Linked DNA regions of Macaca fascicularis. The protein of the gene in region 3 purifies or fractionates together with the protein of the main gene of each other region. This does not show direct contact. Links are inferred from orthologs where the notes say so. Each region holds a gene or a part of one and is shown on either strand. Other genes may lie near its edges.

What was found.
Region 1: the proteins of CDH5 (region 3) and CTNND1 purify together in Homo sapiens (affinity purification with western blotting; 3 studies listed by BioGRID and IntAct, counting the BioPlex papers as one, with this or other methods). This does not show direct contact. The link is inferred for Macaca fascicularis from reciprocal best matches to the Homo sapiens genes CDH5 and CTNND1.
Region 2: the proteins of CDH5 (region 3) and CTNNB1 purify together in Homo sapiens (affinity purification with western blotting; 11 studies listed by BioGRID and IntAct, counting the BioPlex papers as one, with this or other methods). This does not show direct contact. The link is inferred for Macaca fascicularis from reciprocal best matches to the Homo sapiens genes CDH5 and CTNNB1.
Region 4: the proteins of CDH5 (region 3) and CTNNA1 purify together in Homo sapiens (affinity purification with western blotting; 4 studies listed by BioGRID and IntAct, counting the BioPlex papers as one, with this or other methods). This does not show direct contact. The link is inferred for Macaca fascicularis from reciprocal best matches to the Homo sapiens genes CDH5 and CTNNA1.
Region 5: the proteins of CDH5 (region 3) and JUP purify together in Homo sapiens (affinity purification with western blotting; 3 studies listed by BioGRID and IntAct, with this or other methods). This does not show direct contact. The link is inferred for Macaca fascicularis from reciprocal best matches to the Homo sapiens genes CDH5 and JUP.

Annotation. Positions count from the first base shown.
Region 1 is NC_088388.1:15,799,157-15,805,188, forward strand, and holds part of CTNND1 (catenin delta-1), read right to left. Parts: intron 2,049-6,032; coding exon 1,585-2,048; intron 453-1,584; coding exon 269-452; intron 1-268. UniProt on the Homo sapiens protein: Key regulator of cell-cell adhesion that associates with and regulates the cell adhesion properties of both C-, E- and N-cadherins, being critical for their surface stability.
Region 2 is NC_088376.1:104,042,602-104,049,402, reverse strand, and holds the start of CTNNB1 (catenin beta-1), read right to left. Parts: upstream 3,590-6,801; 5' UTR 3,424-3,589; intron 2,974-3,423; exon of another isoform or gene 2,707-2,973; intron 828-2,706; exon of another isoform or gene 688-827; intron 1-687. UniProt on the Homo sapiens protein: Key downstream component of the canonical Wnt signaling pathway.
Region 3 is NC_088394.1:62,399,147-62,405,178, reverse strand, and holds part of CDH5 (cadherin-5), read right to left. Parts: intron 2,659-6,032; coding exon 2,516-2,658; intron 745-2,515; coding exon 620-744; intron 280-619; coding exon 174-279; intron 1-173. UniProt on the Homo sapiens protein: Cadherins are calcium-dependent cell adhesion proteins. They preferentially interact with themselves in a homophilic manner in connecting cells; cadherins may thus contribute to the sorting of heterogeneous cell types.
Region 4 is NC_088380.1:145,427,377-145,433,188, forward strand, and holds part of CTNNA1 (catenin alpha-1), read left to right. Parts: intron 1-1,942; exon of another isoform or gene 1,943-2,107; coding exon 2,108-2,218; exon of another isoform or gene 2,219-3,147; intron 3,148-3,307; coding exon 3,308-3,489; intron 3,490-3,656; coding exon 3,657-3,762; intron 3,763-5,356; coding exon 5,357-5,491; intron 5,492-5,812. UniProt on the Homo sapiens protein: Associates with the cytoplasmic domain of a variety of cadherins. The association of catenins to cadherins produces a complex which is linked to the actin filament network, and which seems to be of primary importance for cadherins cell-adhesion properties.
Region 5 is NC_088390.1:62,819,453-62,826,051, forward strand, and holds the start of JUP (junction plakoglobin), read right to left. Parts: upstream 3,898-6,599; 5' UTR 3,690-3,897; intron 1,615-3,689; exon of another isoform or gene 1,581-1,614; intron 1-1,580. UniProt on the Homo sapiens protein: Common junctional plaque protein. The membrane-associated plaques are architectural elements in an important strategic position to influence the arrangement and function of both the cytoskeleton and the cells within the tissue.

The DNA.
Region 1 (6,032 bases), on a different chromosome or scaffold from region 3:
ACAAAAGCTTACCAAAGTAGATGAACAAAGTCAAAGAGGCATAAAAGTGAAGAGGATGTGTGGGGAACAGCAAGAAAACTGACATAGGTACATGTGGTACGCATAAGAGAATAGCAACAAAGGTAGAAAGACAGGTTGGAGTTACAGTATGCAATACAGATAGGAATGGAGGCTAAAGAATAGGCTAAAGAATTTTAATTGTTTTTTAAGGAAATTTAAGTCAGTCCTCAAAAATTCACCTTCATATTCTCAAAGCCCCTATTGTTACCTAAGGCAGCCAGCTGTGTTGGTGAGCACCGATTCCCACTCAATATGGCGTGGCTTACAGTCTTCATTAGGTTCCCGCTCCCAACCAGAATGAGGAATGATCACTTCATCTGTCAAGGCATGCAGTGCATGGTCCACAATCTCCATTTTGATTGAGTCATGGGATGAAAGATTCCACAGGGTTCCTGGAAGAGACAACTCATCAGATGGCTCTTGAGCATTCAAGACAACATGTCTGAAGAACATCAAAGAGAATCCCCTATTATATCATTTCTCAGTCTTCCCCAGTGACCAAATACCTTGTAGTAATATTCAAGTTTTGTTTGTGAACCTCAGCAAGAAACATGTTCTATATTACAGCTCAAAATAAACATACAGATCATGAAATAAGGTTTTGTAAAGCAATATTTAACGATAAGCAATGCTCTCCGATCTATCTATACCAGAGTTTTTCAACCTCAGCACTACTGACATTTTGAGCCAGATAATTCTTTGCTATGAGGAGCTGTCTTGTCTATTGCTGGATGTTTAGCAGTATACCTAGCCTTTACTCACTAGATGCCAGTAGCACTCCCTCTCCCCTGTTCTAAGTTATAACAACCAAAAACATCTCCAACACTACAAATGTCCAAATGTCCTCAGGGCAGGACAGGCAAAATGGCCCACAACTGAGAAGCAATGGTCTATATTACTTTTTCTTTATTCCTTTCCCTTGGAATGCTGATTATGCTCCACAAAATTGTGTTTTATTCACTAATGGATCACACAAATAGATCACAACCCACAATCTGAAAAACTACTGCTCTAAATAAAGCAAGGACCACAAGCTTAAATGTCTATATGGGCCAAGCAGGTGAGTCAAGAGAGGAAGATATTTAAAAGAAATTACAAGCATGTGAAAAAATAGCAGTTGACAGCTCCATGTTTGGGAAACAACATCCTAAACGGCTGTAGTTGGTCAGATAATAGAATGTGTTGGAGATTAGTGTAAATTAGAGAACACATGCTCCAATCAGTTCAGACCAAATACTGCTAGAAAAGAAAAGAGATCCATTGTTAACAACTTTTCCACATTTTTAATAGAAGCCAAGAATCTGGAATTTTAAGTGAAATCTTCTGAATTTTAAACATCAGCAACCAGTTCTTTAAAATTTCAAAAATGCTGTGTGATCCAAACAAATCTGTGAGATGGATTTGACCCAAGGCCACCAGTTCACAACCTTTCATCAAAAGTAAAAGGTCTGGAAATCCCTCTAGTTCTTAACATCACTAGAGAGTAACAGTGACTTAGCAATTTTCCTTAGGCCTAGAACTCACCGGTAATGACTTCAGTAAGGTCCATATCACGAGCCTTTCGGAGCAATCGCACAAGGGCAGGCACACCATCACAGTTTTTTATGGCAATCTTGTTATCCTGGTCACGTCCAAAAGAGATATTCTTGAGAGCTCCACAGGCTCCAAGGTGCACTTCCTTTTTGGGATGGTCTAACAATCCCACCAGTACTGGGATGCCCTTGAGCTTCCGCACGTCAGTCTTCACCTTGTCATTGCGGTAGCATAAGTGTTGCAGGTATGCAGCTGCATTGGACTTGACAGCATCCAAGCGGAATCCAAGCATGGCGATCACCTCTGGCAGCTCTGGCTGTCTCCAATTAGGAGGTGGGGGCCCTCCTTTGCGCAGGCTATCCAAGCTTGCTAAACTTCCTCGCTCATGCTGGGCCAAAGGAGCCCAATAGTATTGATCCGATGGCACCTCCTCACCAATCATGTCTTCGTAGCTCCTGAGAAGTTTTGGAATAACCAAGAGAATACATCAAGTCATTATGGCTAGCTTCCTGGACATTCCCATTACCCTCATCTGCAAAGCAGGATTAACTGGAGTTTCAGTGTGCTCATCTTCTCTCTCCTTTGCATGAATAATATACTGATCAATTTTCCTCAATGGGTTAGGAAAAATAAAAGGTAATAATCTTAAAGGCACCTACAATTTAATTAAAACTACACTTTTTTCTTTGAAGTCTGCAGGGTTAGAAAGTAACAAGCATTCAGGAGAGGCTAATCAAAAAGAAAGAACCAAATCCTTATTATTTATCATTTACTTGAATGATACCTGACAGCTATTAACTTTTCTAGGTAGAGATCAGGATAAACTCTCAAAAAGCAGAATTAACCAAAGCAACTGACTCAATGCCACAGAAGTCTGAGAACAGTTCCTTAACCAAACAGGAAATTAGGCATTTACACACAGGAAACAACTGGCGGGTTAAGACCTTTAAATGCATTTCATATTTAAGCTTCTCCTTATCCTATTTTGGAAATTATAAAAGATGGATTGATAGAGAAAAACTAATAAAGGGCTTCCTGCTACATTATAGGAGGATCTGGGTTTGGTACTGATGAGGTATAAACTTGAAAAGTAATTTTCACAGTCATCCCAAGGTCATGTCTGCTACTCAACAAATGTGTTAGCGGTAAGATTCCATCCTCCAATTTCTAAAGACAGTACCTCCAGTTCTTTCAAAATTGAGCCTATTCACCAACATCACATTTGGGAAGCCCAGCCACTAGGAACAGAGAAAGCAATTGAAAGTAAGAAAAATCAAACCAGGAGACAATTCTTCCTGTTTCAGTACTACCAACAACCACTAGAGGGTGAGTCTGTCACACTATTATTTATTCATAACTACCAGGAAGAAAGAAACCCATTATCTGTGAGCTCATCTCTTCTGGCTCCCACAGGAGAGGAGAATCTATTGTGTGGAGCTCTCCAAATAAGCCGTTGTTTGTTCTACAAAACCACTCCCACTGTCACCAAATACTCAAAGTTGCCCTGAGCAGAAGGGCTGCCTCACAGGTATCAACATCAACTATGCAACAGTGATTCAGATGGACAAAGTATTTAGTAAAACATGACCAAGATGGTCTTAAAATAACACGGAAACAGGACCAGGCGTGGTGGCTCACATCTGTAATCCCAGCACTTTGGGAGGCTGAGGTGGGCGGATTACCTGAGGTCAGAAGTTCAAGACCAGCATAGCCAACATGGCAAAACCGTATCTCTACTAAAAATATAAAAATTAGCTGGGCGTGGTGGTGGGCACCTGTAATCCCAGCTACTTGGGAGGCTGAGGCAGGAGAATCACTTGAACCCAGGAGGTGGAGGTTGCAGTGAGCTGAGATCGCACCACTGCACTCCAGCCTGGGCAACAGAGCAAGACTCCATCTCAAAAAACAAACAAACAAACAAACACAGAAACAAAATGAATAGCTTAGATAGCTAAGTTTTAAAAGTAGGCTATTGAGCAGTATGTTAAGATTTCCTTTTTGTAGAGGGAAAATAGGATACAGTTACATGTACAATAAAAAAACCTCAAAGGATATGCACCAAAATGTTAACAGTGGTTCTTTATTAATAGATGGTATGCTTTTCTGGGTTTTTCAGGCTCCGTATTGAACATGCTTAACCTCTATTATTAATATACAAAATTATAAGAACAATTACCATAACCAAAATTTCCAAATAACTCTATCTTATATCTTTTTCTATATAGAGGCAGTGGATTGGGCATTCTTTCCTCTGTTTTACAAGTAACAAAGCTGTGCCCAGGAAGACCAAATGACTTGCTTGAGGCTACTTAGCTAGTGGCAAAGGCACAACTAGAACCAAGGTCTCAGGGTTCAGTGCTTTTTCCACTAATCACTGCCTCACTGTTTAAGTTTGACCTCGTATTACTCTTCTAGCCTGGAACAGGAAGCAGCAAATATTCTTGCTAGTCAAGCAGGTTTCCAAGTCCATTGCTACCCTGGAACAAACCCAAGAACGGCCCAAAACTCTATGTGAACTAGCACAACTAGGGACGGCAGAGAATGACCTGGCCACCCACACCCATCTGGGTCCAATCACTCTTTACTAATGAGGAAGTCAGAAAAAGCAGACTTGCAGTAGAGCCAACACCCTGGACAGACTGCTTCAATGATGGCTGTTATCTACCACTGTTCTAGGTTGCACCAGCCGAGGTCTGGTGCTCCTGGAGGAATAAAAATGACTCACATGGGAGTTGGATTAGCTATCCAAGACACCTGAAAGGTGAGTGACTCAGTCTTAGATAATGGGGCCTCTACCCCTGGGCCCAGCCCTGTTCACTCTTAACCAAAGCTACCTAATATATGAAGAAAATTAGCACCAAGGCATTTGCTTTAAAAGGTCATGACCCCATATAGAGAAATTCAGCAACAGCTGCTAGGATATCCTTACCATCAAGACAACCATAAATCATCCCTTGTTTCTTATCATTTCTCTTTGTGTGGAAAACACTGTTTCTAATTTATTCTGAAGCAGCATTGGCAGCCCATGGGCCAAACCTGTTTTTGTACACCCCCAGAATGCTTTTTATATTTTTAAAAGATTGTTTGAAAAAAAGAACAACAACATATGACAAAGATGATACATGGCCTGCAAAGCCTAAAATAGTTCTACATGGTCCTTTCCCCTTAAAGCATTCTCTCAAGGCAACAAGGCAAACCATATACCAGTCCAAACATCAATCACTCCCTTTTTTCACATCACCAAAGAAATCTCCAGGGACAAGTAGTAAAGTCAGAGTAGGCAGCTGCTTAGTGACCTTTCAGAGTGTTGCTAATGTACCCCCCAACCCCCACTCAAGGATGCCACCACAATTTCACTTTACAATCAAATAATAAGACCCTAAGCACAGAATGTCAAGGCCCTTGTGAGGTCAAAGTTTGTTTTTAACTTTGGGATTAAAAACACCACAAGAAAGTTCTTATATATATCCTTAACTGTCTCTTTTGGTCCTGTATTCCTAAAACCTTCAACTCTGTTTTGTTTTGTTTTGAGACAGTCTCACTCTGTTGCCCAGGCTGGAGTGCAGTGGCGGCATCTTGGCTCACTGCAGCCTCTGCCTCCCGGGTTCAAGTGATTCTCCTGCCTCAGCCTCCTGAGTAGCTGGGACTGCAGGCACGAGCCACCACACCCGGCTAATTTTTGTATTTTTAGTAGAGACAGGGTTTCACTATGTTAGCCAGGATGATCTTGATCTCCTGACCTCGTGATCTGCCCGCCTCAGCCTCCAAAAGTGCTGGGATTACAGGTGTGAACCACCATGCCCGACTGACTCTGTTCTTAATACCAAACCAGAAGCTAAAGAAATTCCCAAGAAGAAGTGAGCAAGAATTCCATGGCCCCAGACATCAGAATCCTCTGCCTAACACCAAAAAGGGGTCACATCTTAGCCAGAAACAGCAAAAACTTGAGCATAGAAGCAGAAGCAAAATTCAGTCTTCAGGACACAGACTAATAACAATCACAAGTTGTTTTCTTTTTTTTTTGAGATGGAGTTTCGCTCTTGTTGCCCAGGCCGGAGTGCAATGGCACGATCTTGGCTCACCACAACCTCCACCTCCCGGGTTTACATGATTCTCCTGCCTCAGCCTCCTGAGTAGCTGGGATTGCAGGCATGTGTCACCATGCTCAGCTAATTTTGTATTTTTAGTAAAGACGGGATTTCTCCATGTTGGTCAGGCTGGTCTCGAACTCCAGACCTCAGGTGAGCCACCTACCTAGGTCTCCAAAAGCGCTGGGATTACAGGCATGAGCCACTGTGCCTGGCCCATATATTCAAATTATAGAAAACAACTTGTGGACCAGGCGTGGTGGCTCACGCCTGTAATCCCAGCACTTCTGGAGGCCAAGGCGGGTGGATCACCAGAGGTCAGGAGTTTGAGACCAGCCTGGCCAACAAGGT
Region 2 (6,801 bases), on a different chromosome or scaffold from region 3:
AGAAGAGATGCCTCTAAGTTAAAAAAAAAAAAAAAAAAAAAAAGTGGCTAAACCCTAAAAACGGGTTCCTAATGTGATTGACTTTATCTTTCAAGAGCTTCTTTTTCCTTAGGGAGAAAGCAAATTATATGCATACCTCAAGGACAGCAGGGTTCAGGCCTCAACAGATGAGCCTAGGTTTCAAACTGAGTCAAGCTCAGTCTTGCATGAAACACAAAAGCAGCATTCTTAAGTAAACAGAGGAAATAAAGAACTTTCCCCGAGTTTAAGTGATGAAAAACTATAGGAGTTAACTCCTACTCATTTCAGTCAACACAAATCATATTATATTCCTTTTGTGAAACCTGAGAAGTATGTATTTATTTTAACCGATTGGCCCACTTACCTATCACAATCACAACTGCAATATTACATAGTCTGTTAAAGAAGGACAACTGAATCTGCAAATCAGTATCTTCTCAATGAGGGTACAAGGAGGCAATGGCTACATACGATGGACAAACCAGAAGCAGCTCCTGGGCTATGTTTACTATTCACTTTTACGGTATAAAAATGTTCTCAAGCAGTTTCAACAATAGATACCACAGTTTCAATAAAAAGAGGGCTACAACAAAACTAAGTCAACACAGTATTTTCAAAAACAATGTCACAAATCAACATGACACACTACAAAAGAGTTGCAAATACCTTTTGTTAGAAGTTTGTCCAGTTCTAAAAGCCTTCATCCTTTGTGTCCTGGGTTGGCAGTCAAGCATGCTTCCGACTAAGCTCAAAGTACAAACTTAAAACTTACCACCTACTCATCTACAATTATTGATTATCAGCAACTAGGAAACCACAAGAGAAATAAAAATAATCTTATAACAGGACAGATGTATTATTTCATTTTAATAACACTGAAGTTTCATTTGGCTAAATATACTTACATAGTCTACTGCAGGAGATTTCATTTCACTGCTACTTATAACTACAAAATAATTATATCAAACTTTTAATTCTCTACATCCCTAGTTTCAACAATACTTAGCATGCGCCTCTCCCCACCTCATCCTATAACAAAAAAGAGTATCTGCAAGAGTTTTGCTAACACATTTCAAAATACCCTTGAAGAAACTTGTCTCCTCGTTTTCTATCTTGGTGGTGGTGTTATGAAAACAAGCATACAGACCTTCACTTATGCCAATTTTTATTCCAGTCATCAACGGGAACAGTAAGCTCAGTCTGATAAATTTTAATATTGGAAATACACTTTTCTATATCATGTTAGTAAAGGAAATAATCAGATAACAGTTTAAAAAAAACCCTCTTCAATACTCTGAAACCTGAACACTGTTAAATGCTTCATTTTTTTATTAGCCACCTTTTTTTTTTTTTTTTAAGTCGGTTTTTCCCGAAAACTTTTAAATGACTGTTCTGGTCTGTGGGAGACTCAGGACTCCACAGGACTCTAAAGTTACATGCTATACTAAGCTTTCTAGCACAGGTTTTTACTTTTCCCCACCCCCAGGACTTCAAACTTGAATAGTCTCAGTATTCCTTTAATCCTACAGAATAGACTTCTGAAAGTTTTTCAAGTTACTGTTGCAATAATCTCAGGGCCTTGTCCTTGTACATGGCCTTCAGAACAAAGGTTAGGTCAAAGTAATGAATATTGGGCGCAAATTAGCCACATTTTGTCTGGTGTGAAAGCACATCCTCAAACCCTGAAGGGTACTTTTTTTTTAATTAGAGATTTTCAAAGATCTAAATATAAAAGTAAAATAAATGTCGCACAGCCTCAGTTCAAACGAAAAGCCTCCAAAGTAGAAATGTATGTTAATAATTTAAGCAGGAGATAAACCAGCGGTACAACATAAATAACACTTGAGGCTATATTTAATATTTCTTAGGATGAATACAAGTCAATACGAAGACATCTGAAGGTACTGAATGTTCGTTCACCATGTGACAAATACTGAAATGGCTACCTAAATTCCAGACAAACTACAACTTAGCGATCTGAAAAACATTAGCCTAGACTTTATGAAAGGAAATGCTGCCGTCTCTTTAAGTTGATGTCTAGCCTAAGCCACCATTATTCAAGATACAAAGCTCCCATTTCACTAAAACCACTCCTCGATTTCCTTTTGCCGACCTCTGCATACCAGCAGCCTAGTCTCTCTTCATTCACCACTCACAAACTCGAGGGGTGGGGGGCCGGGGACGGGGGAAGACCACAGATGTCTGGAAGATACAAAGTATGAGACAATGCTCCCTCCAAAAGGGAAGAGAACGTAAGGCAACAACTACACCCAACTGCCAAAGCTTTCAAGCTTGGCAGATTCAGAAGCAGGCTATAGGAACTTAACTTCGAAAAGTCTCGGTTCAAAGTCCTCTCTCCAGACAAAACACTCAAAGAAGTTGCAGTGCTTGAATTCCATTTGGCCAGTTTTGGAGCGAAGGGAAAATTCACTCCGCTGAAAAAACAACATCCTCTAAAACCCAATTTTAGCTGCCATCAAACTAAATTTTGAATAAATTTAAATTATTTCTACGAACAAAATTCTCGAAGCGTTCTGAGTCAGAGGCTGAATCCTGCAGTTCACTTGGTAAAAAACAGTAAGCCATCACCTTCGCCTTCCTCCACCCTCTTATTTCACCAGGGTCTCATGCCCACTACCATAAATCCATAAGACTCTCAGTACATTATCCACTGTTTTCACTCACCTGCACAGTACACTAAAATATAGGTGCAAGACATGGATTTTTCATGTGCACACCCTACTGACGCATCGCACCGGCTGCACTAAGAGTTTAGTTACTCTAACGTTTCAAGTTGCTTCGATTCAAACTCACATAGCTAGGGTATTAAAAAAAATAATAACACTTCTATTCTTAAGAACGAAAGAAGAAATCTTAAGAGAAAGTCCACTGGTCCGATCCCCAGGACTGATGGGACCTAGGGTGGCGTCCCTGCCTCAGCGCCCGAACCCCAACTCGCCGCAGGAGCTGAGAAGGCGGAGCCCCCCGTCCCCACCCCGCCCCCCACCCCGGCCCCGGCGCATCCCAAGGCACAGGGTCCCTCCCCGAAACTCGGCCAAGGCCAGAGCCCCGGACGGAAACCACAGACCCCCACCCCCACCCCGCCGGCCATCCGGGCTCCTGGACGCGCCCCCGCGGCACCCCCTCCCCGCAAGCGATGCCCCCGGGGCCCCCGAGAGGCAGCACGACCGGAACCCGGGCCCGGCCGCCACCCTCCGCGCCCCGGGCGCGGCCCGCCCCCACCGTCCCCTACCTGAGCCCCCCACTCCCAACCCCAGGCCTCCCGGCTGCGCCCAGCCCGGCTCCCAGCCCGCCGCCCGGACCGCGCGCCTACGACGAAGTTTGGCTCCGAGAGGAAGCTGGAGCAGCCCCGGAAGGATAAGGAAAGGAGCGCCCAAGCACCTCAGGGGAACAGGCTCCTCCCGTCGCGGGAGTCCGACCGTCCTCGACCTGCGGTGGCGGCTCGGCGAGGACTGAAGCTGCTCCTCGGACCTTCCTCCGTCTCCGCCTCCCCTCGCTCTCCGCTCTCGGGGCCGGGCCAACACGGCTGCCACAGACCAAGAGGCTTAAAATGGCGCCGCACAAGGAGCTCTTATAAGTCGCCCAAAAGCTGCCGTATCCTGCCGCCGCCGACGCAGCGCGGAGCGCGGAGCGTTCCGCCGCGCGAGGACAAGGGGCGGGGCGCGACAGGGCGGTGGAAAGTAGTCCCCGCGCCGCCCAGCAGTCAGCCGCCGTCTGAGCGCCCCGGGCCGGGGCGGGGTGCTGGGGCACGCTACGGACGCTCCCCGCGGTGACGGCTGGCGGTTGCCCGCAGCGCGGGACCTGAGGGCAACTCTTGAGGGCGCCGTGGTCTGCGTCGGGGAGGCCGGGCCCCCGCGGCCTGGGTTGGGGAACGTGGCCCCGGTATCCTCCCCTGTCCCAAGCCCGTCACCCCCGCCCCCCGCGTTTCCCGAACCGGGAGAGCAGCTGCAGGACTCTGCGCGCCTTTCCCGCGGCCTGCGGAAGGTGGCACCTCGGCCCTAGTCTTCGGGGACCGCACGGGGTGGACGGGACAGGTCCTGGGAGGGCGGAAGTTCGGGGCCAGGGCGGCGGTAGGGGCTCGGGGTCAGCGCCCGCCCGGCTTTGGGCGCTGCCGGGTGCCGCCGCTGCCCGGTCGCCGGCCTGCGGGCTCTCTGACCGGGCGCGGGTTAGGGGGCTTCGCCGACCTTGCGGTCTGTGCCGCACACTCGCTGCTGGACCTGGGTCGCAGACCAGTCTCACAGCACCCCCAAAGCCCCCCACTGCCCGAATGGTGGATCCCACCTCTCAGCAGGCTGTTCAGCTTAAATTTCAACCTGAATAAGCGGGCCGAGCCGCCTTCTATCCCCACTCACGAAGGCTGTAAACTCTTCGTAGAATGGGCGCCAAGCCCTCAATTCAACAAGTCCTTATGAGTACCTACTGTGAACAAATAACTAATGGAAATGGATTAGCTCCAGAGCGCTGTCAATTAGGTTAATTCTTATAGATTCCATTTTTATCTGGTTCCACTTGTCACTAGGTATCAATAGATTTATTTGTGGGGATTTTTCTTTGAAGAAAAAGATTTTTACGGTATTACTTATTTGAGAAATACAAGTATGTTTATAGAGAAAGCTATCGATTAGGCAGCCTCTAATTTTTTAAACTAATTTTCTATTTAAAAGCATTTTGTAATTCATTTCAATAAACTGAAAAATGTTTCCCATTGTAATCCAGCAAAATAGACGCTTGTCAAAGCTGCAACAATTATGATCGATTCACTTTCTCTAGCCTATTGTTTGTGCTTATTTTTCCTCCAAAACATTGGAGAGAGTACAAAAAGCAACAGTGAAAGTTACCTCTATGCTTTTATCCCAGGACTACAATTAATACAAGCAAACAATAGGTCTTAATACATAGATGCAGGCAGAAAACCCATTTATTCATTCACTCATGGAGGTGGGATGTGTAGTTTAAGCATAGCTCATGTTTCAGGGCCAGCATATTCTTTAAATAACTTATTTTTGTCTTAAAGATATTTTACTATGTAAGTGGTAATGCCAACTGCTGTCTGTCACCATAGCACATGTGGGCCACTGCAGTGGAAAAAGTGTACACAGTAAGATGATGTTCAATGAGATCCATTGTCTAGAAAGACCTTCTCATTTGTATCTTTCCTACTAATTCTGTAGAATTAAGTATAGCTATTGGTTGTGGTCACAATTCAAAAAAAAAAAGGAACCGAAAAAGGCATTTCATCAAAGCCATGTTTCTAATACAAACTCAAAAGTATAAATGGCGTTTTTAGGTACTGATTCCTAATTTTAATGGTCATTTGGAGAATTAAGGAATATGCAGTTGATTAAAGTCATATATTAAAAATCAGACGACAAATTAACCACTTTTACAGGGCCTTTTTTTTTTTAAACATGTTTGCTTTTTCTATGTGCAGCTTTTTTGTTGTTGAATAAGGCACTCTTGAAATTGGTTAAGAAATATCTGCACCATTAGAAGATCTAAAGGATAAAAACATTTCTGTATTTGTATTTCTCTGTTCCATTATCAAAATAATGGAATCATTTTTCTATAATTTAAATACTTTAAATTTAGAATTATGATTTTTAATCCCAATTGGCACCATAAACAAATACATATTATTAAAGAAAATGTAAAATTTGCAACAGCGCAGCTTGCTGTTTTTCCCATCATATTAAGTGTACTGAAGAATTACTGGTTGACTAGCATTAAAGCAAGTTAAATTTAACATAGCTCCTAATTTTTATTTGCATGTTTCATAAAGCAGAAATTGTTCTAGTTGTCTCATCAAAAATAGGAGATGAATAACTTCTATGTAATGAAGACAAACACTATCATTAAATCAAAGAAAAATACATTATCAAAATACCTGAGTGTGGTAAAATAAGTAATTTTGTAAAATAATTTTTTTAAATTGACTTTGGACAATACATTTCATAAAAACAGTTGGTTATCTGTTTTATGCCTTTTCCTTCTAGAGCCAGTCACCCTGGGTTTGACATAAATTAATTTTATAAAATGGCGACAGACAAGTTGTTCTAATTTTTAGGCTGTGTTCTTAGAAATCAAAAGTGTCTCCAGCTAGTTTAAAAGAGAAGGTATTTCTTTTCACGCTATCAGGCCACTGGCATATAAAGCAGTGGTAGATCGAACCTGAATGTAAGGCATCCCTTCCCTAAAACAGAGGCTTTTGATTACCTTTAAGAGAAAAAAAAAAAGCCCAGATTATTTCACACTTCAGACAGAAATATAAATCACAGAAATATGCCAGCATTGTAAAGAAGGTTCGTTCACTTTTACTTAACTCTATCAAATCCATTAATTAAACATTTATTGAGCACCTAGGACAATGAGCTTCCCTTAGAGAGAGGGAAATGGATGACTGGCTCCATGTGATTAAGGCTCTTAAATTAATGTAAAATTGTATCTGTTAACCCTATTTAAAAAGAAGCAGAAACGGTAGAAAACAAGCTGTGAAACTAGGGTGTGGTCTCCCTTGGACTCTACATCCGAATCCCCTCGGAAGGCTCCTCTTCCAGCAGAAAGGTAAGAATAATATTCCATGCATTTAAAAACAATCCCAACTCTCCAAGAAGGCTTGTTAAAAATATTTCTTAGGACAATGTAAAAACACTGGACAACAATCAGGATCAGCTTTTCATTTAGCAGTTCATCAAGTGGGCTATTTATGGATTGGGACTTTTGATTTGTAATACATCATCTCGGGGTTTGGTGTTATCTTTT
Region 3 (6,032 bases):
GCATTTGTTCTTTTTTGGAGACGAGGTCTCGCTCCATTGCCCAGGCTGGAGTGCAGTGATATGATCATAGCTCACTGCAGCCTCAAACTCCTGAGCTCAAGTGGTCTTCCTGCCTCAGCCTTCTGAGTAGCTGGCACTACACGCATGTCTGAACTGATTACTTTGATGCCTACCGTGATTATCCGTGAGGGTAAAGTTGTTCTCAGTATTCAGGGTGAATTTGAACTTTACATTTCGTGGTGTTATGTCCTTGTCTATTGCGGAGATCTGCAGGACCAGCTGGGGTGTGGAAGACAGGAGATAGTCAGTGATGGTGGTGGGGTGGTCTGAGGTTTAGCGATGGAGCCCTTGGGTTTAGACCTGACCATGGCTGTTTCCCACCTGCAACACTCACCTATTTAGTTCTTCATAAAGCCACTCTTTCTACTCCCCTGCCCTGCCAATATACTCCCCATACATTCTCTCTGAGCCTCAGTTTCTCTACCTGTACAATGGGCATAATGTTATTTTCCTCAAGGCTATTGTACAGGGGAACTCTTGCTGACTCTGTTGAGCAGTTCTGCCCCTCAGCCTGCCCCAGGGTGGTGCTGCCTTCCCCTCCCACCTGAACCAGACTCACCTGGCCATGGGCAGCATTCTCACACACTTTGGGCTGGTAGGGCTGGGCAAACTCCGGGGCATTGTCATTCTCATCCAAAACTTCAATGTGGACTTGCACAATGGATTCTTTTCCTGTGGGGGTTCCTGCAGGGGAGAAGACTGTCACCATTATGGGCTCAGCTGATGCTGGCCCTGGGGGTGGAAGATGTGTGGAAGGAGGGCTGCCCTATGGAGGCCACTTTTTGTAGGAGGAGAATGTGGAACAGAGGCCCGGGATGGTGTTCCGGAAGAAAGGAGTTTGGTGGAGGGGGAGGTGTTAAATCTTCATCCATAAGGTTTACTGAGGTATTACTTTGATTATGAGAATCAAAAAGGTAAACCACCTAAGTGCATTAAAAATATTGTAATTAAATTTCTAAAATTAAAAATTTAATTATTTGATTAAATATCTAAAACCTAATAAATTAATCATAAAAGAATTGAAAAGGTAAACAACCTAAGGAAGATTGGTCAGTAAATTAGGCCACTGGAAAAGAATGAAATATATGGCCACTGACAATGCCTATGTAAATTACATCTTAAAAATATAATTAAAAAAATTTTAAGGCCAGGTGCTGTGACTCATCCCTGTAATTTCACACTTTGAGAGGCCCAGAAGGGAGGATTGCTTGAGGCCCAGAGTTGGAGACAAGCCTGGGAAACATGGTGAGACCCCATCTCTACAAAAAACTAAGACATTTCCTGGGTGAGGTGGTGCATGCCTGTAGTCCCAGCTACTCAGGAGGCTGAGTGGGAAGGATCATTTGAACTCAGGAATTAGAGACTGCAGTGAGCTGTGATTGTGCCACTGCACTTCATCCTGGGTAACAGAGTGAGACCCTGTCTCTCCCTTAAAAAAAAAATTAGCACCATGAGAAAGTGGTTCTGGAATAAGGTTAAGTAAAAATGCGGAATATATTATCTTACACAAACATTACAATCTCATGTAAGTATAAAAATATGTATAGAAAAAACAAAAATACAAGAATGTGCTAACAGTAACTGTCTCTGCATGGTGGCATTGGTGGGAGGAGTATTTTCTTCTCTTTTTCTGTATTTTCCACATTTTAAACTATTGAAGTATAAAGATTCTATTAATGGGATTATGTGGAGGAGAAAGAAGCAAAGACTGATCTGGCCAAACATGCAGGAGTCCATTACAGTTTGGGGCAGCAGCTGTGTTGGCAGAAGTGAGTCTGGGTGGGCCTGGCAGGCTCCAGGGATCCTTGGCCTAGTGGGCTCCTGGGTAAAGTGGAGTATTAATAATTCTCCTGGAGGGTGATTGTGATTTTCTCATATAGATAAAGGATGCAAAACTCCAACTCTTGCCCCTCCCTCTGGCAAAAATTACCCAATTTCTGGAGAACCTCACAATCTCAAAGTTGGAAGCTGCTTCACATTTTGAATTCTACCTATTAACTGGTGCATAAACACCCTCTGAGGGAACATTTCCCAAACAGCCATGATACTAAGAATCATGGGACCCTTGTTAAATCCACATCTCTGGCTCACTGGACCAGAACCTGCAGGGTGGAGTAGAGCTTTATGCTTAATAGGTGCCTTGGGTGATTCTCGTCACAGACACATCTGCACAGCCCATTTCATGACAGTGCTTTTCAAACTGTGACATGCATGAGATTCTGATTCAGTGTGGGGGTGAGGCTTGAGATGCACTTCCAACAAGGTCTCAGGAGATGTTGATACTGCTGGTTCAAGGACCACACTTAGGCATGGAAGCTCTATAGCATCCCAACCAGCGGGTGCTTCAGCAGGCACTTCTAATACCCCTTGAGACCCCAAATGATTGATTATGCCAGTTGGAAGAATGAAGGAAAAGGAAAAGAACCCAGGTGCCCTGGCAGATGCGGCCACTCACCAGTGGAATCCAGTTCTTTGGCCTCCACAGTCAGGTTATACCAGGGGTAGACTTCTCTGTCCAGTTCTTTCTCATTGTAAATGTCTCCCTTTTTTGTGACTCGGAAGAACTGGCCCTTGTCACTGGTCCTGCGGATGGAGTATCTGCCCAGGGGAGAGAGTTTCATGGCTTTCTAGTGTTCTTTGCTGAGTCTACACTCCTCAGCATGATGGACAAGGCCCTTCTGCATCTGTCCCCTGCATCCCACTTCATGCCCCTCTGTCACTGCTCATTGCACTCTGATACTCAGACAAGAGTGGACCTACACAGAGAGATTCAGGATAACAAGATAATATCTTTGATCTTAGTTACATTGCCATCACTGGACTGAAGGTGGTACCTGAGACCATCAGATGCATGTTCAGAGCTGAACAGGTGACATCACACCATAGCTGGGACTTGTTTTAGTGATGAATGAAAAGATCATTGGGCAAGAGCCAGGGAGGAATACAAAAAGAGCTGGAAGAAATATGAAGTAATTACAAAGAAATTAACTTTGTGAAATAAAAAATTTAAAAAGTTATTTCAGAAATCAGGAAAAATCTATTGAAAGATTATGTTTCGTGTATATAGGAATAATAGTTGCTACCAATGAGGAAACTCCCAGAACAAACAGAGCAGAAGAAATAACAAAAAAAAAAAAAAAAAAAAAAAAAAAAAAAAAAGAAAAGAAAAGAAAAGAAAACTTTCCTGATCTGAAGAAAGTTTTGAGCCTACAGATTATAAGGTGTCATTGACATCAGGCATCATTGAAAAAAAAAACCCAATATTTAGGCATATCCTGATGACACGTACGAATTTCAAGGCTGTCTGAAGAAATTGAAAAGAGTCCAGACAGAAAGAAATAATTTCCTTATGAAGAAAGAAAAATCAGATTTGCCTCAGATGCCCCCACAAAATTAAATACTAGAATACATTGACAGTATTTTTGAAGGGAACTGTTTATAATCTGAGGATTATATGAATGCATCTAGGTGTTATTAGAAGGCAAGGTTGGGCGTGGTGGCTCACACCTATAATTTGAATGCTTTGGGAGGGGCTGAAGCTGGAGGTTTGCTTGAGGCCAGGAGTTCAAGACCAGCCCAGGTGATAGAGTGAGACCCTGTCTCACCAAAAAAAAAAACAAAACAAAACAAAACAAAACCCACAAAAAAAAAACAAACAAAAAACACACAAAAACATTAGCCTGGTGTGGTGGTGTGTGCCTGTAGTCCCAGATACTCAGAGGCCGAGGTGGGAGGGTTGCTTGAGCCTAGATGTTCAAGGCTGTAGTGAGCTATGGTTGTGCCACTGCACTCCAGCCTGGGTGACAGAGGAAGAACCTGTCCCCGCCATCCAAAAAAAGGCAAAGAACTAAGATATTTGTGTCCTGAATTCTTTTTTGAAAACTTACTGTATCTAACTAAACATCTCAATATAAGGTAAACACCTGGTATGGGAAGAATTAAAACAAACTATTGATTTGTTTATCATACATAGAAAAGCAATGGGTGTGTGTGTATGTATAATAGTTTTAACTGGAAAATATAGGTCCAAGGAAACATTTTAAATTTTGCAGATGGAAGTAAATCTCACTGGTAGAAATAAAAATGGAAGCACCTCATCCAAATACCTAGGAGAAAAAAAAAAATAAAGAAACATAGACTGTATAGCAAAGCTGGGGAAAAAGAAAAAAGCCATTAAGTTTGATAAATGAGAAATGTAAAACAAGATAAAAGCAGTAAGATCAAACATATCAATCATGATGAAAAATGTAAATAGGTTAAACACGAAGCATTTCAGTTTAGATTAAAAAGCAAAGCCAAATGCATTCTTGTTTTCAAGAGACAACTTAATGCCAAATGACCTGAAAAAGTTAAAAGTAAAAGTTGGAAAATTTGCATTAGGCGAATATGAATAACATGAAAACAGGACTAACAAATGTAACATCAGGAAACAGAATTAAAGGCAAAATATTTAAGCAGAACAAATTGGCCAATTACATTCGGATAAAAGTTACAAGCCATAATGAAGGTAAAATAGTTGCCAGCCTTTGTTAACTGAGTGGAAAAATTAAAATACATAAAGTCAAAACTTAGATATTCTAGGAAGAAGTGGACACAAATACAATTGTATCACATCACAGAACAAGCTAAAGCAAAACCAAAAAAATACCCTATGACTTATAAATGAAAATAAAGAAACCAAGTCAATCTCTTAAATAAACTCTTGGATCAAAGGAGAAACAAAAATTATAATTACAGGCTATTTAGAATAGAATGGCCATGAAAAGAGTAGTCCTAAAACTTAGGAGATGAGGCCAAAATGTAAGAACATATTTTGTCCTTAATAAGAAGACTTAATACCCTTGAAAGATTAGCTATACCAAAATTAATATATAAACACTAATGTTTATAATATACAAACATTAGAATTCTAATGTTTTAAAAAAACCTGGCTACAAAATTTTAAATTTCACAAAAGAAAAAATGAGAGTTGACAAAAAATTATGTCAAATAAAAAAGCAACAAGGGAACAACTTTTATGTATATCTAAGGTCTAGTGTAAAGCTATATGGTTTGGATCTATGTCCCCCCCACCGAATCTCATGTCGAAATGTAATTCCCAGTGTTGGAGGTGGGCCCTGGTAGGAAGTGGATAGATGGGGCAGAGTTCTCATGAATGGATTAGCACCATCCCCTAGGTTCTGTTCTCATGATAGTGAGTTATCATGAGATCAGGTTGTTGAAAAGTGTGTAACAACTCCCTTCCCACTCCTGTTCTGGCCATGTAAGACATGCCTACTTTCCCAGGATTGTAAGTTTCCTGAGGCCTCCCAAGAAGCAGAAGCCACTATACTTCCTGTATAGCCTGTGGAAATGTGAACCAATTAAACCTCTTTTCTTTATAAATTACCCAGTCTTAACTATTTCTTTATAGGAGAATGGACTTATACAAGCTAGTAGAATAAAATAGAATGGCTTTGCTATAGAACAATAGATAGGACAGAGAATTAGAAGTAGATTCAGGTATATACAGAGAACTTAGTATATAACAAAGGTGGGAAAATGATAACTTATTATTATAATATTTAGTAAATGGTGCTGGCAAAATCTGCTATTCATCTGCAATAAAATTAAATTTAATTGAATTTATACTTACTATTGCATATTATATGGCTCTAAAAAGTATCTGTTGGAACAATATCATTTTTTTTCTAAATATTGTAAAAGAGAAATTTAGTTAAGATAGAAGAGCAAATATCGATGAAATGAGCATGACATGATCCAAAAAAAATTTAAAACAATCAAACACCAAAAGCAAACAGACAACAACAAACCCACCACAAATGCATCCATATATTTGTGTGGTCATGAAAAGAAAGGAGCAATAGGACCAGGTCAGGCCACGAACATGAGTTATCTGACAGTGGGGGTTATCAATGTTTTCTTGGTAGATCTTTGTGTTGTTTCACCGTATGAAATGAACACTTCTTACT
Region 4 (5,812 bases), on a different chromosome or scaffold from region 3:
CAGGTGCCACTCAGCTGGTTCCCCGTTCCAATCCTGGGTGCCTACAGTCTCATGAGCCACAGGGCAGCCAGAGCGATTTCTCTAAGCTTCAGTCAGATCATGCTATCCTCTGTGCCATCCTCTCTACAGGCAGCCACGTCATTCTTTATGCTGGCCTACAAGGCTTTCTAGGACTAGAACCTGTCACTTCTCCAACCTCATCTCCTGCTGATCTCCCCTTGTGCTCATGGGGTTCCAGGCAAGCCGGTGACATAGGGGCAGTGAGCTAAGCCCCCCTTCTGTGGCCTCCTTGCTATTCACGCAGTTCCCTGGGCCAACGCCCCTTCCCCACAGCCTCAATGCTGCCGCCCGCCCCGCCTACCCCTCGAGAGCACCTTCTCATCAGACTTTTCCTAACACCCGCATGGAGTTAAAACCTCGCTTTATTCCTCTCTGCTTTCTTTATACACTGGCCACTTTTGATGTGTCATATAATTCATTTGCTTACTTTGTTGCCATTTCTTCCATTAGAATAGGCATGAGAGGAATTTTTATCTGTCTGTCACTTTGTATCTCTAGGGCCCAGAATGCTTGGCAGAGAGAGAATGAATGAATGAATGAATGAATGAGAGTACTCGGTTTTCTTGGCAAGAACGGTTCTTGGGTCTGCGATGGGGTCCTGGGAAGGCAGAGATGATGTTAGGAGGTGGTCCTTTGAAAAGCCCCTTAACTGATTGCATGCCAGTCCCGAAGGCATGTGTGACTGCAGTGTTAAAACCGTCAGTGCTGGCATTGTGTTTTGTGTCACCAAGTCCGTCGGCCTCCAGGACCTCACGCGGACATGCTGTCTGGTGCCACCTGAGTGAGCATCCACTCCTTACCTCATCAAGGGACAGGCCCAGCCTTTGCGCAGCACGCTCTTGGTGGCTCCGGAATGTTTCTTGCATATCTTCTTGTTTGAACCTCACAGCAAGTCCTTGGGCTGCGCTTGGACTAGATCCTGGTACAGATGAGGGACTCGCCTCACTGCCCTCCTGTCACAGGCCAGCCGGCTGGGCCGAGCGCCAACCCCAGCTGTTCTGCCTGCTGCCCCCTTACTGATAACTGCCAGAGGACAACATTATGTTTCAAGTCAGTAGCTAATCATGAGAGGCTGGTAGTTGGTACAAAATAAGAATTTTATTTCATAATTAAAGCAAAGAGCTAGGACGAGTAATCAGTCCCTTGGGTATTTACTCAGCCCTTACCTGTCATATTCTCCCTTCTTTTCTTTTGATGAAAGTCAAAAGAATACTTTAAAATTGCCTATTTTTACTCCTCCAAGCAGCCTTGGTACCCTAACAGAAGGCTCAGTTATTTAATTTTCTTTTTGTCATAAAGTAGGAAAGTTAAACAAATCTGCTTAATACTATACAAAACACCTCTATTTTTAAGTCAGTACCTTTTCTATCCAGGACAGTTCTCATCTTTGTCTTTAAAATACAGGTGTTGGGGAAGTAAATTAGGAAGTAAAAACCTTATGTCGCCGGGCACGGTGGTTCACGCCTGTAATCCCACCCAGCATTTTGGGAGCCCAAGGCAGGGGTGGATCACCTGAGGTCAGAAGTTCAAGAGCAGCCTGGCCAGCATGGTGGAATCCCGTCTCTACTAAAAATACAAAAATTAGCCGGACGTGGTGGCGTGTTGCCTCTAATCCCAGCCACTCGGAGGCTGAGGCAGGTGAATCACTTGAACCCGGGAGATGGAGGTTGCATTGATTCCAAGATCACGCCACTGCACTCCAGCCTGGGTGACAGAGCGAGACTCTGTCTCAAAGGAAAAAAAACAACCTTATGTCTTATAAAGAAATAGTGAATTGACTCAGTGATAGCCATTGAGCCCCACACACAGTGAAGCCAGCGCAGGCCTGCTGTGGGCCAGGCAGCCCAGCGCGTGCAGCAGTGAAGCAGAGGCTCGAGACAAATGCTGAGTGATTGTGACTTTATTCATCATACTGTTCAGAACACTGCACATTAAAATCCAGAATTCTGGGCCTCCGTGCACCTGGCCAAGAGGCTCAGGGTGGCTGGGGGCTGGTGGCCTGTGACCCAGAGATGTGTCTGACTTGTGATCTCTGTCTTGGTGGCAGACCCCTGAGGAGTTGGATGACTCTGACTTTGAGACAGAAGATTTCGATGTCAGAAGTAGGACAAGCGTCCAGACAGAAGACGATCAGCTGATAGCTGGCCAGAGTGCCCGGGTAAGGAAGCGCTCTGTGGGGCAGTTCAGCTTGTGCTGCCACCTTCCCTGTCCCCTTTCTTGTTTCCAGGAAAACACCCTCAGTATTCAGAACACCATTTCTCTCTCTCTGGCAGTAGACTGAAGTTAAACTAAGTTGTGGCACCTGCTAGTCACTTGTAGCCTCCTCAGCTAGAGACAGACCAGGTCCTGGGCCTCCTCTGCAGTGCCCTGGGGCTTTGGTTTACGATAGAGCCCTGGGTCAGGAAAGGGCTGAAATTTAGTCAATGCAGTGTTTGTTGAAAGGATCGTGAAATTTGAAAAAGATTGCTGCCTTTAGCCATCTCAGTGATGCCATGGGTATGAACTATTTAATTATTCATGGGTTTAAAAAAATAACAGTGGTACATTCAAGAAAGCCAGTCAGAGCCATTGCATTCATTTGAGTCATTAAATCTTCAATCAATAGCATTTATGTTTTGGGGAGGATGCCAAGAAATATTTCTAAGGAGTCTTTGATTTCACTCCTTGGAAATCTGTCATGAACAGCGAGCACATCGCTGCCTTATGTCCTGCTCCGTCATGAGCACTTTGGGAAGCTGAGAGGGAGGAGCTTCAGCCGCAGGTCTGTGGGCTGGAGGTGGGCAGCAGGCCTCCAGGTGCTGCTCGAGTATGGCCTTAGTGCTCAGCCCTCTTTCTTCAGGTGTACATTCTGAAGCCACTTTCAGTTCACCTTGAATAGCTGGAAATGTCCACCAGGGAAAGGGTTCCACACTTTCATCAACCCTTTCTCTCATTTCTTGTCTTATATTAAAGAATTAAAAAGCAGGTTCTGTCCCTGCACAGTTGTGATTCCAAAGCTTCCGCATTAGCCTTCCACCCCTCGCTGTTTGCTTCCACACTAAAACTTGTGCTCGAAAGTGGGTCGGAAATTCAGGCTGCTGTAAGTGTCTGCAAAAAATGAGAGAAATAGCCCTTTAGGCAAAATGAAATCTGTTAAAGCATTATCCTACCTATGCCATAGATTGCCTGTTGGAAATATTCTTGGCTAATGCACTCTGAGAACTTCATATTCTTTTTATGTAAGAGCTCTTTGTGCTTCTGATCACAGGCGATCATGGCTCAGCTTCCCCAGGAGCAAAAAGCGAAGATTGCGGAACAGGTGGCCAGCTTCCAGGAAGAAAAGAGCAAGCTGGATGCTGAAGTGTCCAAATGGGATGACAGTGGCAATGACATCATTGTGCTGGCCAAGCAGATGTGCATGATTATGATGGAGATGACTGACTTCACCCGGTGAGCAGCACCCTGGCCCCACCAGGCTGCACAGGGGCCACTTTCTTTAGGTCACCTGCACAGCGGCTTAGACAGCCCAGGCCATGGGGCTTTGTGGACATCTGTTTTCTACTCATCTCCAACTGTGAGGGGCTTCGCATACAATGATCCTTGTTCTCTCTTCTCAGAGGTAAAGGACCACTCAAAAATACGTCAGATGTCATCAGTGCTGCCAAGAAAATTGCTGAGGCAGGATCCAGGATGGACAGGCTTGGCCGCACCATCGCAAATCACGTAAGTGACAGACCTGCCAGGTGGGTCTCCAAGCTCCTTCTGGGACTCAGGCAGCCCAGCCTGGTCCATTCAGGGTAAGTTTCATGGGCCACAGCACTTTTGCCACCCATCTCTAAAAATGGTTCTTATTAATCCCAGCATAGATTCGTAAGGATTCTCTAGAGCAGATGTGGATGTCCTGGAATCTTCCGTCACTTGTAGCCAAATTAACCTCTGCTGTTGTCTATTATGTCTCAGTTCCCTCTCTGGGCAGGGGCTGAGGGCAGCCAGAAGCCATGTGGCCAGTGCTGTGGAAGGATGGTGTGCCCAGATGGGGCCAGGTTTCTTCATCCTCAGCACTGTGGCTCTTAGTCACCCTGCCGTCATCCCCCTATTCCCTCACACTGTGATAGGTACAAAAATATGGTTCATATCACCTGGAAATGTACAATATGTTTGATTTGGTGTTTTAAGCCTGATCAAGAGAGGCTCTTTCTCAGTTATAGTTTTTCTCTGTAGTTAACAAACCTCCCCACCATCTTCCCTGAAATATCAAAACTCTCAGCCTCATCTAGGCCACAGGATGTGTGAGACGTCCCTCTTTACTCAAGCCAAAGATTGTAAAGGCATCCTTGACTCCCACACAATCGGTAATAGGGCCTATTGCTTCCATTAGCCAAATGTATCTCAACACAAACCAGTCTTGTCCTGTCTGCAGAGCTCCATAGCCACTTGGACTACTGCGGCTACTCCTGATTTCCTATTCTTTCCTCTCTCCACTTCCTTCTGCATCCAGCTGCCAATACTGTCATCTGAAAATGCAAATCACATGGCTGCCCTGCTTCCATGACTACTTAGAATACAGCTCATCTCCAGTATGGTCTGCAGGGTTTCAGTTCATACCACTCTCTGTGGTGTACTTTGCTTGCTATGAACACTTAAGAGGTGCTCTGTTTCTTCCTTTGGGTAAAGCTTTCTAGGCTGGTCCTAATCTGGGAGCCTCTAAAACCCTGAGATATGGGGGGAGACAGGAACTGGGCAGGGGCCACCCTTTTCTCTTTGACCATCCCTGACTGCTTTTTTTCTTGCTTTCTTTACTCATTTATCCTCCACCTCAGCCTGCAGTGAGTGGCTTTTGTCATCAGGCCTTAATAACGCAAAGTGCATCGGAGCAGAAGAGCTATTTGTTTACTTAGCTCAAAACATCTGGACTTTTCTCCATAGCCAGGCTCCTACTTGCTGAGCCGGCTTGTTCTCACCTTGAGGGGCACAGGCCTCCACCCTGCCATGTGGGGTGAGGGGATCCTTGGCCAGAGTGGTTTCCCTGCTGTCACAGAAGGGAAGTCAGCGGGAGGCTCAGAAGGCCTTGGCTGTACAACCAGTGCCGTGCGGCACAGCCAGGGTCCCATGAACGACTTCCATCAGATCACCTGCCTCCATCCCCAAGCAGAGTGTAGGCAAGGGCTGTGACTGCCTCAGGTAATTGGGTGATTTTGCTCCAGCAAGAGGACAGGAAGCATGTGAGTGCCACCCTGAACCTTTAAGAAACACCCATGGGGTGGGAGGTGCTTGGTCCAGGCCAGGGTGCTCGGTGCTAAGCGTGCTCTCCCTTCAGTGCCCGGACTCGGCTTGCAAGCAGGACCTGCTGGCCTACCTGCAACGCATCGCCCTCTACTGCCACCAGCTCAACATCTGCAGCAAGGTCAAGGCCGAGGTGCAGAATCTCGGCGGGGAGCTCGTTGTCTCTGGGGTAAGCATTAGCTGAGAAAAAAGAGGGCCAGTGGGAACGTGCTGACCCTTGTCAGAAATGAAAGTCACTTCCTATCCACATACACACCTGCCCTGGGAAAGTGTGCTGAGCAGAAACCCCAAGTCCTGTCCCAGCCTCCGGAGACCAAGGTCTGTCCATCATCTGTTCCCTGTAGAACTGTGACACGTGTGGGCCACTGCAAGGGCTGAAAGGCTGGCCTCCTCCCCTTTGCTGGCCACTCACTGGGAACAAATTTTTAAAAATCTTCCTTGGGACCGGGCGTGGTGGCAGGTGCTTGTAAGTCCCAGCTACTTGGGAGGC
Region 5 (6,599 bases), on a different chromosome or scaffold from region 3:
AAGGGGGTGCAGAAAAATCCTTTCCACTCACACCTGTAATCCCAGCGCTTTGGGAGGCTGAGGCGGGCGGATCTCCTGAGGTCAGGAGTTCGAGACCATCCTGGCCAACATGGTGAAACCCCATCTCCACTAAAAATACAAAAATTAGCCCGGTGTGGTGGTACATACCTGTAATCCCAGCTACTCGGGAGGCTGAAAGAGAAGGATCGCTTGAACCCAGGAGGTGGAGGTTGCAGTGAGCAGAGATCATGCCACTGCACTCCAGCCTGGGTGGCAGAGCGAGACTCCATCTCAAAAAAAAAAATCGTTTCCAGAGCTGTATGGGGCAATACAGCAGGATGGGTTCTGGGCTTGGAATCAGAGGACCAAAACGCCAGTCTTGGTGCTGCTTGGGTCTCGCTGTACAACCTTGGGGAAATTACTTAAGTTCCTTGAGTTTCAATTTCCTCATCTGTAGAATGGGGAAAATGATACCCGCTTTTTTTTTTTTTTTTTTTTTTTTTTTGAGTCAGGGACTCACTCTGTTGCCCAGGCTGGAATACAGTGACACAGCTCACTGCAGCCTTGACCTCCCTGGGCTCAGGTAATCCTCCCACCTCAACCCTTCCAGTAGCTGGGACCATAGGCATGCACCACCATGCCCGGCTAATTTTTCTATTTTTTGTAGAGACAGGGTTTCACCATGTTGCCCAGACTGGTCTGGAATTCCTGGGCTCAATCAAGCAATCCGCCCTTGTGGGCCTCCTAATGTGCTGGGATTACAGGTTTGAGCCATCCAGCCTGTTCAGCCATAAGGATTAAGTAAGAATAGTTAATGAAAGTGCTTGGTTTGGGCCAGGTGAGGTGGCTTACGCCTGTAATCCCAGCACTTTGGGAGGCCGAGGCAGGCGAATCACAAGGTCAGTAGATCAAGACCAGCCTGCGCAACATGGTGAAACCCCATCTCTACTAAAAATACAAAAATTAGCCGGGCGTGGTGGCATGCACCTGTAATCCCAGCTACTCAGGAGGCTGAGGCAGGAGAATCGCTTGAACCTAGGAGGCGGAGGCTGCAGTGAGCCTAGGTGACAGAGCGAGACTCCACCTCAAAAAAAAAACAAAAAAAAAAGAAAGTGCTTGGTTTCTGTAAAGTCTGACCTTGATCTTGAGTTACCATTTGTCAAGTACTTACCGGGTAGATAGGTGTTGTATTCCCATTTTGCCAAAGAAGTCACTGAGACTCAGGCAATGTAATGAGAGACAGAGCTGGTTCTCAAACCCAGCTCAGTTCAAGCCCAAAGCCCTGTGCTCAGAACTGCCCCACTGTCCCATCTCTCCAAACAAACAGTCCTTCTGTAGACTAGTCAATTGACCGATCTCATTCTAAGGTGGCTCCAGGAAGGGAAGAAGGTTGGCAGCCCTAGCCCGACCTTTTTCGTTCCTATACACTGCATTCTCAAAGCCTCAGCCCTGGCAGCCCAGAGGTTCCAGAGGGAATGGAGTGGAGCCAGGGTGCAAGGGAGGGGTGGAGTGGGGGTGGGAGGGCTCAAGTCACCCAAGCTGGGGCTTGATCTAGCAAGAAATGACTAATTGGGTCCTACCTTCTCCTCCTCCGCGTCCCCCAGTCCAGTCAGTGGCCAGTTTTCACCAGGCACCTCCTAGTAGTACTTCCTCAGTATTATCTTTTCATCACAGCCACAAACCAGATTAGCTAAACTAATCATTTAGCCAACATAATTACAATGCCCTCCCCTCCTCCACCTTGGCAGGGAGAAGAGGGAAAGCAGGTTATTTTTGCCCAAACTCCGTGCTCCTGTTGCGCCCCAGAGGTGCACCGCCCCCCTCCTCCAGCAGAAAAGGATCTGAGTTCCCACACTGACTTCCCCCTAGCCCCGGGCTGAGCGTGATCCCCACCCAGGATAAAGGGGCTGAGTCTGGGCCCCCAGCCTCACTCCCCCATCTACAACAAAGAAAGAGGTGGTAGACTCTCCCCCTCCAAGCACTCTCCATCCCCGCTCCCCGCAATCTTTCTCCCACCCCTAGGACTGAGAGAGAACCCAACTGTGGTATTCTCTCTCTGTTCCCCAAGGAGGCTGGGCTCCAAATCCTGCAAAAAGACCACACTTCAGATTGTTTTTTAAACCGGGGTAGAAAGCCTGGTCAAGATTCCCAATTCCGGAGGGTGGGGGGGTCTCAGGAAATTGGGAGCAGGGAAGGCAGGGGCCCGATGCAGCTCTGCCTGAGGGAGTCTAGCACTGAAGAAACCTTCCCCCAAAAAGCCTTCCTCCGGTCTCACTTTCCCTGTCAAATTCTTTCAGGAAAGGGGGTGGGAAAGGTCTGTGCAGGCCTCCAGAAAGCATGCACCTTCATAATTCAGAAATCAAATGGAAGGCAAGTCCCACAGCCTCATGCTCTTTTGCCTCAATTACCAGCCAGCTAAGTAATGTGGGGGATGGGGTAGAGAAAAAAAAAAGACAAGAACAACCACTCCCCCCACCTTCCTCAGTTTGGCCCAGCCCTGCCCCACCCCCATTCCTGGGGAGGGGGCAGAGCTTGAGAGAGAGAGCCGCTTACGCAGGCCTCGTCTGAGGGGGTGTGGTGGTCCCCGGAGGCAGGAAGAGAAGGAAGAAGCTGCTTCCCCTCTCAGCACTTTCCACCCCCCACCCCGGCCCCCACCTCAGGCCCCTGGGGCCCAGCGAAGAGGATGAAGGTGGGGGCAGGGAAGACAGGGTCGGAGCGCAGGCACCCGCCCAGGTTCAGCCAGGGGCCGGCTAGGGGAAGGGGCTTTGCACCAAGAAGGACCCCCTAAGCCTAAAGGAAGTTTTGGGCAAGGAGACAGGAAAACCCCCAGATCAAGCTGCTGTGAATACTTCCTCCTGCAAAGTTTGTTTTGGGTGATTTTTCCAACAATAAGAGGTTAGAGAAGAAGACGGGTCCTGTTCCCCTACCAACACTCTAGCAGCCACAGCTACTGGAAACTGGGCCAGGTGACCCTGAATTCTTCATCCGTGCACAGACCCCACCCCCCAGACTCCAGGGCGAGCCACGGATGCCAGACACACCAGCTGGACACTGGGTCGAGCCCTGCACCCACCACTGTCACTCCATCCCACCTCCGCTGAAGAAGCCAGAGCCCGGCTCCCACCGGAGTGGAGGGAGGCGCCGCAGGTAGTATGGACGAGGCTCTGGGAGTTGGAGGGCAGGGCCTCTGGACTCCGTGCGCTCACCTGCTCGGCAGGTGGGGCCAGCGTCGCTAGGAAAATGTGTGCTCGGCCCCCACAGTTGGGCAAGCTGGGCGCAGACAATAGGGCCCCACCCAGGCCTGGGGGAGTAGGGAGGGAGGGAAAGCGAGGATGACGCGTGGGGTGGGGTGAGAGTGGCCCCAGAGACCAGCGGCAGCAAGTTTCCCAAACGGTAAATTCCTGACTGCAGCGTGAGCCCTGGGACGCAGTCAAAGCAGGGCAAAGTCTCCCCCACCAGCTCAGGGCGAGAGTCAGGGACGCGGCGTCGGGCGAGGGGCGCGGGCCCCGGGGGAGGCACGACTCCGGAGGCACCTGTCCGGATCCCTCCCGCCCTGCTCAGATCTCTGGCTCGCGGAGCTCCCAGGCGCGCTCTGCCCAAACCGCGCGACCCCCAGGTCGCCGCGCCCAGGACCCCAGCGCGCCCCCTGCCGCCGGTGCAGGGTGGCGCTCCATGGCACCCGCCCTCACCTGCCCAGAGACGGCAGGGACCGGCCTCGCGGGCGCTCGCCACCCCTTCTCTCCCCAGCGATACCTGCTCCCGATCGCCCGCACCTTAGTATGGGGCCTGGCCGGGCCGGGTCGGGGTCGGGCCGGGGTGGGAGCCGGCGCAGGCAGCTAACTGAGCTCGGCGTGGTCGGGCGGCGGCTGCTCCGGACTCTGGCCAAGGCAGCAACTCAGTAACCGAACAAAAGGCAAAGAGACCTGACAGCCAAGCCACGCCCCTCGCCACCTCGAAGCTCCGCCCCTGGGGGAGACGCCCACCCTCTGGTGCGAGCTCACTGGCTGTCTCGCCTGACTGTCCCGTCGAGGGGCGGAGCCTCACCTCCAGTCCTCTTCCACGGCCGCCTCTGTTTATCCGCTTGCCATTGGCCCCAGGGACTGCCAGTCGGCTCTAGGGATGGACTCTAACTTGAGGTCTCATCCTAACACTGCACCTATTGGCAGATAGAAAGTTACTTCCTCCTGATTGGACAAGGGGCTGTCAGTAAGACTAAGGAAAAAACCAATGGAAGGGATGGGGTGTGTCTTGCCCCACCCTTGCTCTGAGCAGGTGAGACTCATTACTCTCCCCTTCCCCCTACCTGTCCAACAGGTAAGTCAGGGGATACTAAGGGAAGGGACAGACGCCTTCACCGGCCAGCCAACTCAGCGTCAAGCATGATGCTTCTTTGGGCTTATTCATCCTTGCCCCAAAGTAGTAATCACATATTTGTATAGCATTTCATAGGCTTTGTGCTGGGTTGGGATTTTTTCCCCCCAAAGATGGAGTACTCCTGGGATTTAGAATTAGAAGACCAGGGTTTGTGTTCTCCCACTTAGTATGATCTTAGACAAGTTACTTCACCCTGTTTCTCCTCATCTGTAAACTGGATACATTAGCCGTATCTACCTCTCTGGAGTATGTGGGGATTAAATGAAGTCAGGTTTGTGAAAGCACTCGGAAACTGCTAAAGGTTAGAATTTAAATTAATGATATTTTTGTTTTAATTATTGTGACAGCTCTGAAAAAATAGTTAAGATGAGAAAACGACCCTCATTGTAAAGATGAAGAAACCGAGGTTCAGATAAGTCACAAAACTACAAAGTGGCACACCCCAAGCTAGAACCTCCTTCTCATTTGAAGGACCATCGAACCAGCTGTTCCCTTCATGGAACATAAAATGCATAGACATAAAATGTCAAGGCAATGGGGGAAGGGGCAGAGAAAAGGCACAAACACTGGGAGGAGAGACAGAACAATTAATTGGCACAAAAATACAGTATTGGTGTCAGGAGGCTTTGATGGGCTTGGAAACATCAAGCAGCAGATCTGAAAGAAACCCAGGCATGAAAGAAACGGGGCAGGCCAAGGTGGGTGGATAACCTGAGGTCGGGAGATCAACACCAGCCTGGCCAATATGGTGAAACTCCATATCTACTAAAAATACAAAAAATTAGCTGGGCGTGGTGGCGGGCAACTATAATCCCAGCTGCTTGGGAGACTGAGGCAGGAGAATTGCTTGAACCCGGGAGGCGGAGGTTGCAGTGAGCTGAGATCATGTCACTGCACTCCGGCCTCAGCGTGACAGAGTGAGACTCCATCTCAAACAAAAAGAAAAAGAAAAAAAGAAACTGGGTAGCACATCCCTCCACGATAGGAGAGCCTGGGGTAGAGATCAGAAAGAACTTCTCGGCCAGGTGTGGTGGCTTATGCCTGTAATCCCAGCACTTTGGGAGGCCAAGGTGGGCAGATCACTTGAGGTCAGGAGTTCAAGACCAGTCTGGCCAACATGGTGAAACCTCGTCTCTACTAAAAATACAAAAATTAGCCAGGCATGGTGGTGGGCGCCTGTAATCCCAACACTTTGAGAGGCTGAGGCAGGCGGATCACCTGAGGTTGGGAGTTTGAGACCGGACTGGCCAACATGGTGAAACCCCGTCTCTACTAAAACTACAAAAAATAGCCGGCATGGCAGCGGGCACCTGTAATCCCAGCTACTCAGGAGGCTGAGGCAGAAGAATCACTTGAACCTGGGAGGCGGAGTGAGCTGAGATCATGCCATTGCACTCCAGCCTGGGCGACGGAGTGAGACTCTGTCTCAAAAACATAAAAAGAACTTTTCACAGGCAGCTTAAGAAGACAAGGGCACTTCCTTTCTGTGGTTGATGACATGAATGCTGGTCGTGGTTGTATGGTGTGCCAAGGACCCTACAAACATTCCTTCATTCAGCACTTGAGTATTCAGTGTCAACTCTATGTTAGGCACTGGTGAACACAGAAAATAAAATCTGGTGACACAGAATATAAAAATGATCCCAACCTTCAAAGAGATCATAGAAGGATAAGCAGAAGCAGCCTGTGTGGGTGGGTGTTGGGGGAGTGGTGGTTTAGAAAAAGGTCCCCTGGCAACAAAGCACTACAGCTCCAAAGCTAGCACACAGGAGGGGCTGGATGAAGGTACCTTAGCAGCGTCCTTGACCACTTTCCCCACCGGAGAAAGGAATGGTAGCTGAACATTCTCCCTTCTGAAGTTGCACCATCCAAAAGCAGGGCCAGGGAGATACGGACACCCCTGAACTATTGGCCATCCCATAACCAGGGCCACTGCCCTTTGCCTGTTTCCCCAACTCCCGATCCTCCAGCTTACCTCCCTGTCTTATTCCCTGCCTTATCCCTGCCCCATCCACTTGCTTGTCACCCTGGCACACAGAGCTGTAGCCAGGCCACAGCTGGGGGGGGGGAATGGGCTCACAATCCTGGACTGCTGCAGCTGCCAGGGTTTCATTTCTTCCCCCTCCTGCCCACCTTCCACCTCCACACATGCACACACGCACATACTTAGCCCCACACCAGGCCTAACTCCTTCCTATTTCTCCTGACCTCAGCAAACAGGCAGG